Linked DNA regions of Arabidopsis thaliana. The protein of the gene in region 2 interacts with the protein of the main gene of each other region in a pairwise test. Each region holds a gene or a part of one and is shown on either strand. Other genes may lie near its edges.

Evidence for each region. The genes of interacting proteins can lie anywhere in the genome.
Region 1: the proteins of AT1G23300 (region 2) and AT2G24170 interact in a protein complementation assay, tested with the Arabidopsis thaliana proteins (one large-scale study listed by BioGRID).

The regions. Positions count from the first base shown.
Region 1 is NC_003071.7:10,271,884-10,280,733, reverse strand, and holds AT2G24170 (Endomembrane protein 70 protein family), read left to right. Parts: upstream 1-3,467; 5' UTR 3,468-3,545; intron 3,546-3,612; 5' UTR 3,613-3,839; coding exon 3,840-3,947; intron 3,948-4,291; coding exon 4,292-4,456; intron 4,457-4,552; coding exon 4,553-4,662; intron 4,663-4,746; coding exon 4,747-4,855; intron 4,856-4,928; coding exon 4,929-5,041; intron 5,042-5,118; coding exon 5,119-6,427; 3' UTR 6,428-6,635; downstream 6,636-8,850.
Region 2 is NC_003070.9:8,259,911-8,268,721, forward strand, and holds AT1G23300 (MATE efflux family protein), read right to left. Parts: upstream 6,139-8,811; coding exon 5,842-6,138; intron 5,732-5,841; coding exon 5,462-5,731; intron 5,389-5,461; coding exon 5,117-5,388; intron 5,028-5,116; coding exon 4,941-5,027; intron 4,875-4,940; coding exon 4,818-4,874; intron 4,741-4,817; coding exon 4,502-4,740; intron 4,402-4,501; coding exon 4,283-4,401; intron 4,196-4,282; coding exon 4,109-4,195; intron 4,037-4,108; coding exon 3,917-4,036; 3' UTR 3,538-3,916; coding exon of another isoform or gene 3,097-3,537; 3' UTR 3,029-3,096; downstream 1-3,028. Other genes in the region: AT1G23270 (uncharacterized protein), read right to left, coding at 1-234; AT1G23280 (MAK16 protein-like protein), read right to left, coding at 955-1,008, 1,104-1,225, 1,325-1,442, 1,535-1,675, 1,765-1,852, 1,968-2,065, 2,180-2,298, 2,476-2,585 and 1 more; RPL27AB (Ribosomal protein L18e/L15 superfamily protein), read left to right, coding at 3,097-3,537; GGT1 (glutamate:glyoxylate aminotransferase), read right to left, coding at 8,810-8,811.

The sequences.
Region 1 (8,850 bases), on a different chromosome or scaffold from region 2:
GATTCATCTCCAGAGTTTTGTGCAGTATAGACTCAATCGTTGGACCATGTGTATGCTGATGTATACATGTTAATCTATAGTAGCAAAATATGATTGAAATCAATGTAAGAATATTCGAACTTCACTTTTACTTCTACATAAAAACAAATTGTACTATTAGACCATTATGAAGTGGACGTTTTTGTGGTTGGTTAATAGGATCCTAATGAGATTTGGATAATGTTATTTGTGTTCTCGATGTTCATCTCTGAATTTTTAGTTTTTTCATCTTTTTGCGTTGTCTCCTGCATGCAATTATTTGACTTGACTTGAATAAATATAGTTTAGTTCTTTGTTTGTTTGGGCAAAAAATGTAGTTTAGTTCAGAAATTCGGTAAACAATATTAAGATCTGGTAATAAGAGACATATTTTTTGTAAGTTTAACCATTGCAATTTCAAGGATTTGTTCTTGTGGTTTAGCCCCTTTTAGTCTCAGTAAGTATTGTGTGTTTAATCTTGGACCGGATCCTTTTGTACACAATATTTTACAATATATGCAATTTCAGATATGATCAATACAAAATATACTTTTTTAGATAGAATTTTAGAAACACAGGCTCCATGTTCTTAAATATAAGGCCAAAAGGGAAAAAAAAGTTCCCACTATCTATCGAATACTTGTTAGATCAAACGATGATATATTATTGTATAGAACTACAATGAAAAAATGTATGGTGTAACTGTGTATTAACATTATAAACGTGATGGTCGTGTCGTGAGTAGGTAGTTTTTTTCCTTGGTCAAATAGTATAAGTTTTCTTCTCTGTTTTATAATATTTTAAATGAAAATATTTTACTTTTCTACAATGTTTTATATATAGTAGATAATACGAGATATGATTGAACCCTATCAACTTGCTTCGCTACGATTTTCAACAATTTATCTCACAAAACCAATAAAATGTCCACCCGTTATCAACGTGACACAAACACATCAAAGAAGGGAACAGTTCTACTGGCCACCTCATGAGTCATGACTCAACCATTATTGTGTCCTGGACTTCTTTCTAGAATGTAAATTGATGAACGAAAATTTCAGCTCTGCCCTTGGCTAAAGCGGCTGAAGTCCATGCTTTAGGCACACAAATTTATAGATAGTTGTAAAAGGTAACAAATTTCGAAAATGTTTCGTAATCTAGTGGTTATTTCATAGATTAATGTCTTATTAGTGAACGGTTAGAATTTTAGCTTTGTTTTTTGTGACTTTTAATTAGAAATAGATTTAAAAATGCTTAACAATTTTAAATAAACTTAAATATGTTTTAGGCATTAAAATCTGTTGGGTTAGTTCTGTCGAGGCGGATTGGACGTTGGTTTTTTTGTATATAAATTAGTGGGCTTCATGGATAGATCCATCGTAGATCACAAATTCATGTGGATAAACTCGTCGCAGATTGTGGGTTGCCCGTAAAAGAAAAATCAACTCTTTTAAAACATAATGTTTTTTCATAGAGGATTTCAATCCTTTTGTCTCTGTTAGAATTTTTTGTGCAGTTCAAAAACCCTAATCAAAGTATTTCACGATCACTTAACAAGAAATCTGAAGAATCATTCTCTATTTCTTCAAGTTTCTTTTTATGACCACATCAAAAAAAATTAAATCGTCGAAACTTTTGATTTTAAGTCAAAACAGAGCATTTGTAAACTACACACTTGTAATGGTAAGTTATTTGTGAATACACATCCATGATTAGATGTTTTATTTTTGTTTGATTGATTCGCAAGTAGTGACTAGTTTTGTATTTTGTTACTGATATGATTCGTTTGACTCCGAGTATTTTAGATCTAATAATCTGGAATATCAGAAAGTCATTAAGTTGAAAAATGCTAAATCTAAACGACAACAAGCTAACAATGAACCAAAAGGACCTAAAAAACTGGAAAGAAAACTAAGAGATGAAATAGGAGCACCTAAGCCACATAGAAAAAAGGTGAATGAACCAGAAACATTTAAAACCCAAAGAAAAAAGGGTGATGAAGCAGAAGCATATAAAACAGAAAGAAAAAAAAAGTTTGATGAAATTGAAGAAAAAAAGTCTGTCTTCATGTTCGTTGCACTCGTCGTGAACCCCGAACCTCAAATGATTTAAAGATTAAAAAAGTATTAGACTGCTTTCGATAATTCCTTCTTAGTTCTATGAAACACTATAATCTATTTAGACTACCTCAGCGTATCAATATTTTTTTCTTGTATAGAATATCCAATCACGACCAATCGAATTTCATCAATCTATAAGAATGCCATTCTCATGCAATTTTTCTCTTATAGCCAACATGCTCATGCAATTTTGATTATTTACTTAAATAAATAAATAAATAGAAGTTTATATAAGTGTCAATAATAAGCTTAACCTTGAGATTCTTTGAGAAACGTTGCATTTATAGAAGAATTTGTCAGTAATTCTAGTAAGATACGAGCAATCAATTGGTATTTTTGATTGTTACTTCTCTCATCTCACAAGTTTGAATGGTTACGGCAGTTAAGATGGATAAATCCGTCAATGGTTTAATCCGAACTATTTTTAAAGTAGACAACAAACCGTCGCAACCAACTCTATTTATATGTAAAAACGGTATGTGGTTGATCCGCATCAGTTTTCTTTTTTAAATCCACACAGAAGTAATTTGTGAAATGGTAAATAAAACGTGGTCAAATACACAAACGAATTTGTCCACCTTAACCACAACAATCATTTAGACCCTAAAATTGATAATAAATGGACAAGTGAACATAGAAAATATGGCAATTTATGTTATTTTAGACAATCGAAGCGATTATTTAGGCGTTACCTGAGAGTCTAGTGCCTAGATAGAGTGTAAACGACCGCCTAGACCATTTTTTATAATACTGAACTTTTGTAATCATTTATTTCGGAGGTGGTGCACACGACAATGCCTACATTACTCGTGAAAACTATATTATACCTCAGAATACCAAAGTCCATGTTCCCGATCCCAATATCATCAAAGAGTTGGCCCATATCAAATGCTATGTTAATTTTTCTTATCTTTTCAAATTATTCTAATGTTGTGTTGCCAACGACTGCTTTTACTTTATAATAGAATAGAAATAATAGAAGTTAGTTTCCGCGATTACTATTATATGCTTACATTTATACCGGACTAGTTATCTCCAGAAGAAAACCGTCCGTTTTCAATTTGAAAACAGTCTGTAAAAGAAAGACTTACATTTATCTAATGCGGATTTGTATTGTGTGTGTGTGTGCTTTTTTCTTACATGTATTTATTGGTAATGTACATTTAATTATATGTCAAGGTGGTTGCTGGTGTGTGTAAGGTTTCATAATCTGCTAGAATAGTTAAGAGGTCACCTTCATTTACCAAATGGATTTTGTCTTCTAATTGATTTAAATCCATTTTTTTCTTTTATTCTTTGAATACTTTTTCATAATTATTTCGTATCCTCCACACTAACTCATTTCTACTTTGCTACATTTACAAGTTTCATCTAATCTACTTAAATTAACAAAAAAAAAAAAAAATTGTTTCCTTATTTAAAAATTAGATTTCTCGTAAATTGGACTTTGATTTTAATTATTGTCTATTCAAAGTTTTATTTTTTTACCTTAAAAAGTGTTGACTTTGATATTTCATTACCTTAAGAAGAAGAATCACCGACAGCTCCAACTTAGGAAATCTCAACCGTTGATTAAATCAAACGAGATACTAAAATATCCAACGGCCATAAATCGTCCAATTGCCATGTTTCTTCCCACTCTCTTCTCCTTCATTTAAGAAATTTCACTCTCCGAAGAAGAAGACGAAATCGAGCAAATCCATGGCGAAAGTTCGGATTTTGATCTTCACCCTTGTCTTATTCTTCTCCCTCAATGTCCATATCCATGGATTTTACCTTCCCGGCGTCGCTCCACAAGATTTCCAAATGGTCAGCCACATAAAATCATCTCTGTATCTGTATTTCACAAATGCAGCTTCTTCTTAGAGCTTTGATTCACACTGGGTCTAGATTTTTTTCTGATTTAGATCCAACGCAATCGATCAAGTAATCTTGTTAAAATTGGATCTATGGCTCTGTTTTATGAGATTTGGGTAATTTTGATCTTCAGTTACCACTGAGTGTTGTGTTTAAAGAGAATGTTTCATTAGTCTATATGTATTAGCCATTGTTTAGACTTGTTTCTGTGTGAATCTAGCTTTTGGAGTAGAAGAATGTATAATGGTCATTATCTATAAAGGTTCAAACTTTGGAGTTATGGTTTTGTTTTTCAGGGAGATGCATTGATGGTGAAAGTTAATAAATTGACATCTACAAAGACTCAGCTTCCATATTCCTATTATTCTCTTCCTTATTGTCGTCCAGAACATATTGTTGATAGTGCTGAGAATCTCGGTGAAGTTCTTCGTGGTGATCGAATTGAGAACTCTCCTTTTGTGGTATGTTCTTGTTTCTTCTTGGTTCTTTCTCTATCTGTCTTGGTTAAGTGGTAGTTGTTGAGTTGTTTTTAATGTCTGTTTGTTTCTTTGTTGCAGTTTAAAATGAGGGAATCGCAGATGTGTGCTGCGGTTTGTCGTGTGAAGCTTGATAAGAAAACCGCAAAGGCGTTTAAGGAGAAGATTGCTGATGAATATCGAGTTAACATGTGAGGAGATTGATTTTGTCGCCTTCGACTGAATGTGTTTTGTTTTTCTTCTGTTTTTATGAGGAAGATTGATTTCTTATGCAGGATTTTGGACAACCTTCCCCTAGTTGTTCCGGTGCAAAGGCCAGATCAGGACAATGTTGTAGTGTATCAGCATGGTTTCCATGTTGGTCTCAAGGGAATCTTTGCTGGCGTAAGAGCTCATCATCACCTTTTCTGAATATGTTTCAATGGAAAGAGTTCTTATTTATTTGATTTTCTTGTAGAAAAAGGAGGAGAAGTATTTTATCCACAACCACTTGACCTTCACTGTTAGGTATCACAGAGATATACAGACCGATTCTTCAAGAATCGTTGGCTTTGAAGTCAAGCCGTTCAGGTAGCTTTTTGTGATTTAAGGACTTTGACTCTGTATTGTGTAAGCGACTAACATCTACTGATTTTATCTCGATGCAGTGTCAAACATGAATATGAAGGTCAATGGAATGAAAAGGCTCGGTTAACGACTTGTGATCCGCATACAAAGCGTGCAGTCACTAACTCTGAGTCTCCTCAGGAGGTTGAAGAAGGGAACGAGATTATCTTCACATATGATGTTGACTTCCAGGAAAGTGAGGTGAAATGGGCGTCTAGGTGGGACACTTACCTTCTAATGGCTGATGATCAGATTCATTGGTTCTCAATCGTTAATTCTATGATGATTGTTCTTTTCCTCTCTGGTATGGTCGCTATGATCATGCTAAGAACACTCTACCGAGATATTTCCAACTACAATCAGTTAGAGAGTCATGAAGAGGCCCTCGAAGAGACGGGTTGGAAATTGGTACACGGAGATGTTTTCAGACCGCCAACAAACCCGGAGTTGCTTTGTGTTTATGCAGGCACTGGAGTTCAATGCTTTGGAATGATTCTTGTCACCATGATCTTTGCTTGTCTTGGCTTTTTATCTCCTTCAAACCGTGGTGGTCTTATGACGGCTATGCTTTTGCTTTGGGTTTTCATGGGACTATTGGCAGGATACGCGTCTTCACGCCTCTACAAGACGTTAAGAGGAACCGAATGGAAAAGAAACGCTCTGAAAACCGCATTCATGTTTCCCGCTACCGTCTTTGTCGCCTTCTTTGTCCTTAATGCGATAATCTGGGGACAAAAATCATCCGGTGCAGTCCCATTTGGTACAATGTTTGCTTTGGTTGTCCTCTGGTTTGGTATCTCTGTTCCACTTGTTTTCATCGGTGGCTACATTGGTTTCAGAAAACCTGCACCGGAAGATCCAGTGAAAACCAACAAGATCCCGCGGCAGATCCCAACACAGGCCTGGTACATGAACCCAATCTTCTCCATTTTGATTGGAGGCATTCTCCCATTTGGCGCAGTCTTCATCGAGCTCTTCTTCATACTCACCTCAATATGGCTACATCAGTTCTACTACATATTCGGCTTCCTCTTCATCGTCTTCATCATTTTGATCATCACTTGCGCAGAGATCACGGTCGTCCTCTGTTATTTTCAGCTGTGTAGTGAAGACTATCAATGGTGGTGGAGATCTTACTTAACATCAGGCTCTTCCGCGGTTTACCTCTTTCTTTACGCAGTCTTTTACTTCTACACCAAACTTGAGATCACAAAGCTCGTCTCTGCAGTGCTCTACTTTGGGTACATGCTCATAGTTTCATACGTATTCTTCGTCTTTACTGGTGCAATTGGTTTCTACGCATGCTTTTGGTTCACCAGGCTTATCTACTCTTCGGTTAAAATCGATTGATCTTTAATCACCTTCTTAGTAAGCTGTATCTTAAATCTTGTTCTTTTTCGTTCTTTTGTTTCCTCCTTTTAAATTTTGTGATGATTTTGAGATATGTAGACATAAACTTTTATTTTATTGTAAACATACATAGAGCTCAAGAGTACAACAATTGTCTCATAATAACAGCAACTTGTCACACACTTTTATCAGCAATCTCAGTTTTTATTTCTTCCATTCTTAGTAGATTAGAAACTAAGTTTGTTACTACTGCAAGGTCATACAGTTTACATTTTTTTAATAACTGTTTCTAATCGACAATTTTTTTTTGGAATTCATGAAACTGCGTACCTCATGTTTTTAGGAACATAGTTTTCAGAATATTAAAAATGAAATAAAAAATAATGAACTCGATCGACAAGGTCAAGTCAAGATAGTATGTGGTAGATAAACAAAAACAAAAAGAAACGTATGTGGTGGATAATTTAGAATTGAATGAGTCAATCAGTAGTCTATATGGACCAGTGGCACAAATCACTGAGCAGAGATGCATGAAGAATTAGGAGGATAAGAAGTCCGACGAGTTCACACGATAGATTGTTCTCGAAGTCAAGAACTAAACTCCAGAAGTGTTTTTATTTTCCTTTTTTCTTATTAAAGGCATACTCAGAAGCCATAGTCATAACCTATTACTTACCACACACTGCACACACATACACACAGAAAGTAATTATGAGTCCACAACAATCTTATTGCTTTTCTGGTGTTACGTTGTATTCCTTCTTTTTGGTTTTCTTTGTTCTACACACATTTGCTTCTCCTACGCTTCACTATTGCCGCCATGACCAAAGGGATGCTCTTTAAGAGTTCAAACACGAGTTTCCGATCAATCAATCCAAGCTAGATCCTTATTTTGCATCATTAAGTTTATGGAACAAGAGCAGTGATTGTTGTTATTGGAAGGGTGTCAAGTGCGATGCTAAGTCTGGCAAGGTGATTTCACTTTACCTTAATTACGTCTTTCTCAACAACTCCTTGAAACCAAATAGTGGTCTTTTTAAACTCCAACATCTTCAAAAATTAACCATTTCAACTTGCTATCTCTATGGGGAGATTCCTTCTTTATTCGGAAACCTTTCCCATCTCACAAAACTTAACCTTCTCAATAATAGATTAGTAGGTCAAGTTCCATATTCATTTGGAAACTTAACCCATCTTAGGCACCTAGACCTTAGTGAAAACAACTTAAGTGGGAGAACCAGTTCAAGGGACATATAGAGTTTGGGAATACAACTTCATCGCCTAGGCTTATTGGTATACACCTTGGCGATAACAAATTTGATGGCTCAGTCCCTGAATCTATATCTAAATTTTCGAAGCGCAAAATGTTCAGTCTTACAAACAACAATTTCATCGGGACAATCCCAAAATCTATATCACAGTTACATAACCTCTATATCCTTGATCTTTCCTACAATAAGATGGAAGGAACAGTACCAGGTTGCTTATCAAGATTGACATGGTTATCGCTTTCTCACAACTCTTTTAGTAGTATTGGAAAGTCATTAGAAGTTCTAGATAGAGCTCCAATGCGTGTATTGAGTCTTGAGTCAAATTCATTCCAAGGACCGTTTCCCCATTGGATTTATAAGAAAAGTCAATAGAAATTTTGCTTCCCCACAGAGGCCGAATATCTCCAAACACTCTTTCTTCTTGGACATGTTACACATGATGTTGAAATGGACATAAAGCCCGCTGGCCTGAAAGGATACGGTCTTATTTTGTGGACCCGAACCCGTTTAAAGACACTATATAATAGGTTGACCCGTTTAGATTTGACTACTAATAATGGATCTGAAAAATACTAAAAAGGTAGCCCGTTTAGACCTAATTACTAAATTGTCTGAATAAGATGCTAAAAGTCTTTGCTTTCACTATTCTAGTGATTTCTTTCGGAAATTCCAGAAATTTGATTCGAAATGATTTGTGGATTTATTTGAATGAAATCCACAATTTTCTGAGTATTTCGAAGGAGTCAAGACAAAAATTTCCCCTCTTAATCATGTGAGGAAATGAAGCATATCTTGTTCTTTGTTTCTTGATTTACTTTCTGGTAGTAATGGATAACTAGAGAGATTCAGTGGAATGGCCAAAATCTCATAAGTAGAATTTCATTGGTTTTGCACTGAATATTAGATGGCTTTATGGCTCTGAAAAAGCAGCTCTTGCCGGCCAGTTTAGCATGTTTTTCAACAGACAAATATTTAATAATTATACCTTGATAATGTATAAACAATCTTTTTTTTTATGTTGTGTTTATTGTTTGCCTTGGGATCCAAGTGAACAAAGAAAGCAAGTCAAGGTTTATACTCCATTTCACTACAAATTTTAGTTATCTGCAATAATCAAACCCACTGTTTCTGTTATCAACATAGCAATCTTTC
Region 2 (8,811 bases):
GCTATTGGAGTGAGAGAGAAGTTTCTTCGGGGAAGACGAAACCGAGTCGGTTCGAGAAACCGGAAGAGATTTGAGACGACGTAAACGGGTTTCGGGATTAGTGGGAAGAGCAGTGTCGTCGGTGAAGCCTGAACAGTTGATTTTGGCGACTTGTTCAAGAACGTATTGATCTTTAGCTTGTGAAAGAAGTTCCTCCACAGCTGAATCATCTTTACCAGTAAAAAAACTTGACATCTTCGTTGATTTGGTTTAGGGGTTTAGAGTTTTTTTTTTTGTTGTGAGAGAGAACGATGAAACTATGATTCTGCATTTAGAATCATTATTATCTATAGATTTTAGATTCTTTCTATTTCTGTCTGCCTAATGTCTATTGTCCATTTTCTGTGCTCTGGTAAAAATATGTTAATTGTCCATTTTTCATAATTTGTAACTGACTGTTGAATACATTAAGTCGGTAATTTACTGTAAATATATCATTTTCCAATTATTTTGCTCTGTGTAGGATTATTGTAAATTTGACTTTTTTTATTTATCTTCAAATGAAATTCATATTTTTCAATAATAAGTATATATTAAAAAAAATAGAAAAGACATAAAACCGAAAATAATAATATAGATGTATCCAAAAATCTGCTAAAACGTACACTAATTTTCACTTCAAAGCTTCTAATAATTTTAACTTCAAAGTTTCTAATATCTAACAAAAAATTCATCCAGTTTTAATAATTGATACATCAAAATTCATTCAAACAAGGCCTCTTGTTTTCAAGTTTTCAGTAACAATATCCAAAACTAAATTGTAACTTGAATATAAAATGGTTTATAATTTAAAATGTAAGAACATATTAAGCTTTTACAAGATAAAGGTAGAAATTCTACAAAACCAAAGGCCTCTCAACTGAAGAAGTTTTTACCTTTTTCATCATTAAGTATCAAAAACTTTCACAATCTTTCTCAAATTTTAAGGCTTTTCAGGGATCTTCTTGTGTCTGCATCTTCTTGCTCAACCTAAAAAAGACATACATATATGTAAGAAACCATCGAAATCGTAAACACAAAAGTATCCTTGCAAATTATTTAAGCAATCTTGTGGAATCTCTCACCTCAACAACTACTCTTGGTTTCTTCTTTGCTTTTCCATTATCATCAGACTTCTTTAAAGCTCTTCCCTTTTTATGAATCACAACTTGTTCTTCAGCATCATCGTCATCCTCGTCATCTGAGTCTGTAGAGAGTTCACGATCGGGTTAAAATAGTTTCTCAAAATACATGGATTCAATTATTGAGTGGAAATTGTAAGAAACAGGAAGGAGATGAATATTACCATGATCATCACCTTCAAGGTAAGACTCCTTAGATGGAAGACCAGAGAAGTCTTCCATGTCTTCTTCTTCCTCTGCTTCGAGTTCATCATCGCCTTCAACATATTCAATCACTCCTTCCTGAGATATACGTTAATGAATGAAGATCAGTAGAAAGATGTTGCATCTAGATTTGATGGACTACCAAAATTACACGGCTTTTACAAAAGTACCTCCTCCTCTTCTTTCTCAACTTCGTCGTTGGTTTCGATTTCTCTATCAAGCAGTTTGTTAAACACACTGTCAGATAAATTGTATATTTCAGTAGGGTAAATGCCTTTCTTCAAACGTTCCATCAACTCGGTTTCAATAGCCTGTAAAAAAAGAATCAAAACTATCATGAAAACCTCAGAACTAGAGTGAAGCAAGTAAAAATCAAAACCCAAAAACAACAAATCGTGACCTTATCCAACTGAGCTGCTTTTATAGCCTTTTCCTCTCTTCTCGACTCCCTCTTTATTTGCCTCCTAGGCGTAGTGACTACTACCTCCCTGTTATTCAAAAACAAAAGTACCAAATAATTAATCAGAACAAGAAAAGAATTAGACACATGTAAATCAAACAAGATACCAAACTCCACAAACAAAAACCAGAAGAGGACAAGACCTTGTTTTCAGAGCAAGTTTCCTCATACGAATACGCATCTGAGTCATTTTAGTCAGTCTTTGTTTAACCTTATGCTGCAACAACTTGGGCCAGTACAACTGCCACACGTAAGAAAGAAAATAATTAAAACCCTCCCAGATCATAAGACATTGACATTGCTAATGAAGAAGAAGAGTAAAGAAATAAACTGTGGCAATAAATCTCAAGCTCACCAAGTGTTTGTCAATCATTTCAAGAGCCTTCTCATAGTTTACAGGCAGCTTAACTCTCTCCCACAATTTATTTGGCATGTGAGCTCTCTCAATAGTCTTCATATATAAATAAAACACTCCTGTATAAACAACAACAACACAAGAAAATCCATTTGTAAGAAACCACCACAACAACACTAAACTCAAAAGAAACATCTTTCTAATTGCCCTTTACTACGTAAACTAAATCAACACCCAATCCTAACTATTCCAACACACAGAATCAGCTCAAAGATTGACACTTTTCTAAAAATTACCATCATGGTCACGGATAGTGGCGTATCGGCTATTAGCAAGAGGGCAAGAGCTTCGATTACAGATTCCTGTTACATTATATTGGTTTCTGCAAAAGATTCCAGTTTCGATTCTAGAAAAGCAAAAGAGAACAAAACAAACCCATCAACAAATTGAGCTACAAATGAAAATTGAAAGCTAACAAGTGAGGATAAAAAATACATACTTGGCCATGTAACTACAGTGCTTGTGCCTAATGACCTGCCATATAACCTCATCGTGTTGCATCTTTCCCGGTGAAGCTTGAAAATAGCTAAAGGGTTTAGCTTTCGGGCGAGACTTTAGGGTTTATGAGTGAAGAAAAAGAAGAAGGAGAAGCTGTCAAGGACGGCGCCGATCAACTGTCGTCGAAAAACTCAAAAGTGAAGTGGTTAACTAAACCTGATATTAGGGATTCATATAATGGGCCTCATAGCCCAATTTAATAACATAAATAACCTGTGGTATAATTGGGCCAAATTATTAAAAAGCCCAAAAGACAATACACTATCTCTGTTTCTCCGAAAACCCTAGCTGCTAAATCCTCTCTATATAAAAACCCTTTAAGATCATTTCTGGTTCAAAACCCTAGATCTGATACTAAAATGGCGACGGCGTTGAAGAAGAACAGAAAGAAGAGAGGTCACGTCAGCGCCGGACATGGACGTATCGGTAAGCACCGTAAGCATCCCGGAGGTCGTGGAAACGCAGGAGGTATGCATCACCACAGGATCCTCTTCGACAAGTACCATCCAGGTTACTTCGGGAAAGTTGGTATGAGGTATTTCCACAAGCTTCGTAACAAGTTCTTTTGCCCAATCGTGAACCTGGACAAGCTATGGTCACTTGTTCCTGAAGACGTGAAGGCGAAATCGAGCAAGGATAATGTTCCGTTGATCGATGTGACGCAGCATGGTTTCTTCAAGGTTTTGGGGAAAGGTCATTTGCCTGAGAACAAACCTTTCGTTGTGAAGGCTAAGCTTATCTCTAAGACTGCTGAGAAGAAGATTAAGGAAGCTGGTGGTGCTGTTGTTCTCACTGCTTAGTTTTTTTTTTCAATTCAGTCTCTTTTTAATTTATTTCATGTTATTGAACTCAGCTTTGTTGGATTTTGGAATCAGAGATCTTTTAATCTATGGTATTGGATTATATAATTTGCTTCGTATTATTTGGAAATTTTGGGATTATTTGTGTGATCTGATTCATCTCTGCATTTGCAATGTTGTCATGTTCTTCAAGATCATTGCGTGTTATGTTCACTGGTTTCAAAGATTATGTCTGGGTAAACCTCAAACTCAATGTCACAATAGTGTTTAGATTCTTACAACAAAGTCTTAGCTTAGCTTGATCAATTTGGGAATAACTGATTCTTCTTCTGGGATGGTTGTTTTGTTTATTACGAATCTGCAATGACTTGTTTAATGATCATTTCCTGTGATTGTTTTCACCATTTGAATTGTTTTCATCTTCTTCACAGAGATCGATCTCTTCTCTTTTGTTTGATTGGTCTCCCCATTTTTTTATTCTAGCTTCTGCTAATGAAGCCTGGACATTTTGCATAAACTTTAATACACAAACACTGAAACTGATACTAGAATTTGACAATTGCTTCTTTACCTCTTTCTTCCAGTTGGTTCTATAGATAATGAAAAGTAGAACAGATGTTTGAACTACTGTTCCCGTTAGCATTCCTGTCCATATCCCCTGTAGTTGTGTGTGTGTTTATATCAACTTGAAGCTTATCATGTATGCAAGTTCTTTATTAAGGTTAGATTTCGAGATTTTACTTACCTTCACTCCAAGTTCCATCTTGTAGCCGAGCACAAGACCGATTGGTATACCACATAGATAGTAACACCCAATGTTCACATATGCAACAATGCCTTGCCATCCAGCTCCAACAGCTACACCTTTTGTACCAATATCAAAAACCAAAACACATTTTGTCTTATACACAATCATGCTAAATTTAAGCAGCCTAGGGTTTTTGAGTGTTGTTAGAGAAACTACCAGAAAGAACAGGCTGAATGTTGTTGATGACGATGGTGAGAGCCAGCAACGGAGTCAGCTGCTTCACGAGTACTCTCACTTCTTCATCATCTGAGAACATTGCTGGATACTTGTCTCGCAACACAATGAGAGTCACTGATATCACAATTCCGATCGATACAGAAGTTATCATAGCCACTATCAATAAGAACTTTGCTCTTCTTGGGTGTTCAGCTCCTAGCTCATTCGACTCTCTTACACTGCACATATAACACATCATTTTTTCCAATCATTAAGCTTTTTTTTTTCTTTTCTGTTAAGAGACTTTGTGATATACCTCACAGCCGCATTGAAGCCAAAGGCCACCATGATCGGCCATCCCAATATGTTCATGCTATAACCAAACCGTTAATTCCGTTCCTAACCAAAACAGAAGCTTTCACAGGGACTTAGAACTCACCATATCGAAAGAGCAGCTACAGAGACTTGAGGGTTCTTGAGGTAACCCGCAAACAGAATCAACGCCATGAAATACCAAACCTCTAGGCTGAAACCAACAAACAGCAAGTCACTAGGTGTACCCATCAATGAACCATTTATGTATCGATCTGACTCCAAAGTGTTCCGATATCTCACCAAACCATGACTGCAGAGGCAAGAGACAATCTTGCAAAGCCTCTGAGATTCTTGAACGCCATCCAAGAGAGCCCTGACCAAGCTCTGCCAGAAGAACCACCACAAATATAAACTATTTGAGTAACATCTATTAACCACCACGACATATTCAATACAACGGCTCCTCCGGCCATTCCCCATCTAAGTTTCAGCATCAGCAACCAACTCAATAGAGTGTGCTGTAACAGCACAGTCGCTGCTATAACCGCCATCGCAATCACTTTGCTTTGTGCCTATAATAATTAATCAATCTCATAACCAAACAACTTGAATTTACCTCAAGTAAACTGATTTTGATGTTGTTACCTGCAAGAACTTGGCGGTGGCGAAGTTAACAGCGTAAGCAAAGAGCTGAGGAATCATCCAGAGGGAGAATTTCCCGGCTGCTTTAGAGATCTCCGGAGACTGTCCGAGGAGACTCAACAGTGGAGTGGCAAACACGTAAAAAAGACAAAGAAGAAGGGCACAAGAGTTAAGGATGATCCAAGACCTCTGAAGATATATTCCCATCATCTCTAGTTGCCCTGCTCCGTACGCTTGCCCACAAAGCGTCGCTAGTGCACTTCCCATCCCAAGCTTAAATCAATTTTAAGTTTAAAAGAATAAATTATGAACAATGGATCAACTAAAAAATGTGTTACACATTTGTCATAGATATGTATGCTTAAAGTAACTAATTATATTACCATAATGCCGACAGAGAAGCCGGAGATGACGGAGTTCTGTATGGAGACAGCAGCTAAAGCCAGCGTGTTGACGTGTCCGGCGAGGATCTGCGTGACGGCGCCAAGAGAGTATTGGCAGAAAGATGTGAATATCGCAGGACCAGCGAGCCACCACAACTTCTTTGACTCAGCCGCAAACTGTCGAATGAAGTCTCTACCGCCGGAGATCGGAGGCATGTCGGTGTCGGATTTGGTATGTGCTCGATGTTCTTGTTCTGAGGAAATAGTATCTTCATGATCAACGTTGAGAGTTTCCATGTCTTACTAGCAAAAGAGAGATAGTAATTTCTTAGACATGCATGCATAACGCATATATAGAGTTTTATTTGTATGCAATATTTATGTTAGGTTTTTTTTGTTTTTTTCACAAATTTATGTTAGGTACTATAATTTTTAGCTTTTCAAAATTCTAGTATCGTACCACAATTTAGAGATGCAGTGGATTGTACGAGGACAAAGTGGTCTAACTATTCTTACGTAGTCTCCAAACTTGTAGTGAACTTTATCACCCAATTTTAGTTTCTGAAATTAGCTGACTGAACTCAAGTCATTTGGTATCTATCATTCAACAATGAGCAATTGAGCATTATTATAAAATTAATCTTTTCTAATAGTAGTTTGCTTAGAATTGGGTTGTGCAAATTGCAAAGCACATTAATTGAGCCAAAAACTGTACAAAATTTACATTCATTAATCAAAGGCTAATTATAGTTTCTTAAAATATATTATTTAAATACTATTTTATGTTTGAATAATTTTCACAACAAAAGAAAATCATCCTTATTTGAAAGTTGAAACCTTAACTCACCACATAATTTTATGTTATTTTTCCGAAGAATGTCGATGTTAGATAAATACTAACATATAGTTTTTCGAGGAAATCACGGGTTTACGTTTTTTGGCGGGAAAATCATGGGTTTACGTTTATGCGGGAAAATCACGAGTTTACGTTTTTGGCGGAAAAATTACGGGTTTACGTTTTTGGCGGGAAAATCACGGGTTTACGTTTTTGGCGGGAAAATCACGGGTTTACGTTTTTTGGCGGGAAAATCACGGGTTTACGTTTTTGGCGGGAATATCACAGGTTTTGGTTTTTGGCGGGAATATCACAGGTTTTGGTTTTTGGCGGGAAAATTACGGATTTACGTTTTTGGCGGGAAAATCACGGTTTTACATTTTTGTCGGGAAAATCACGGGTTTACGTTGTTGGCGGGAAAATTACGGGTTTACGTTTTTGGCGGGAAAATCACAGGTTTTGTTTTTTGGCGAGAAAATTACGGATTTACGTTTTTGGCGGGAAAATCACGGTTTTACGTTTTTGGCGGGAAAATCACGGGTTTACTTTGTTGGCGAGAAAATCACGGATTTATGTTTTTTGGTGGAAAAATTACGAGTTTATTTTTTCTCAATTTCATCGCTTGTATATTTAAGAAATTTGGAAAAATATTGATTTTATTAAATTGGTTTAGATGTGTTGGTTAAGCTTAAATTGATATTGGTTTAGAGATTTTAGTTGGTTTAATTCAATTTTACAAAAATTGATGGGTTAATTGGGTAAACAATTGAAACCATTAACCATTACAACCCAACTCATTTGACTCATCAAACAAATTGATCCAATAACTCATTTGACTCATCAACTCATTTGAGTCAAAAAATTTAACTCATTAGGGTTCATGGGTTGAGTTGAGTTGAGTTGGCCCATGAATTTTGACCCATTTTGACACCCCTATTTGAAACCTTAACTCACCACATAATTTTATGTTATTTTTCTGAAGAATGTCGATGTTAGATAAATACTAACATATAATTTTTCGTTTTTAATCAGATTATCTTTAACTTGAATTGCATCGCGCTAGTTAGTCACTAAATCTAAAGATAATTTTTTGATTTGTTTGTACATAAACAATAATTTTAAGAATGAAAACAAAGTAAGATATGTCCTAATTAATCAATACCTAAATCCATCAGAGCACCTTCATCGGTGACACACACATTTGAGAATCTAGCAAATAAAAATATTAATTTTTCTATATAGTTTTATTATTTAATTAATTATTTATCTATTAAGAAAACATCAACCAATCAATAAGCGACAAATGTAGACATGTGTCTCTCAAAACAATTAACCAATTATTATTTAACTAATTATTTATCTATTAAGAAAAACTGCTAGTTTACAGAGAAGAATAATCTCTGCTTCTTCTGCGTTTAGGTTTGGGAGCCGGTGGACATTCAAGCGGCTGCGAAATCCTAAACTCCTCTGCTTTAGGCATTGCGCACTCTTCTTATTCTTATTCCTCATCTTCTTTCTCTGGCTTCTTCTCAACCATCGTCACCTGACACTTAACCGGCGAGAGAATCTTGATCAGTTTCTCTCCATTACAGATTGTCTTCTTCTCCGTCTTTGCTCATTCTATGTTTTCTTCCTTACCCTTGTTATTACTCTGCACCTCTTTTCCCGCAAAATTCATAACTTACACGAAATATAGAAAACAGAAATTCAAAGTATCAAGAAGAATAGACAGGGAATAAATACATATATCTTTGGATTTATCACATTAATAAAATTATATTAAAGACGATTTTTTTTTCATAATCAAAAACAAACTAGGACATGGATTATTATTATTTTCTTTAATATAATTAGCATAATTACAAATTTCACATTGCCACACTAAAAAAAGGCTATCACCGTTGATTAAAAAAAATAATCTATGGCCTAAACTTCATTTCATTGAGAAAAGATCTTAATCAGTTTCCAATTGAAAATAGAAATAGAGACACAAGAGAGAGTTTACACCCAAAAAAAAGAGACACAAAGAGAGAGATATGGTTTATAGAATAGGGCAAAGAGAAAGAGTGTACTACAGAGATTTAGCTTTAAAGAGTGTAGCAGAACACAATAGTCGTTCAGAAGAAGAAGTAATC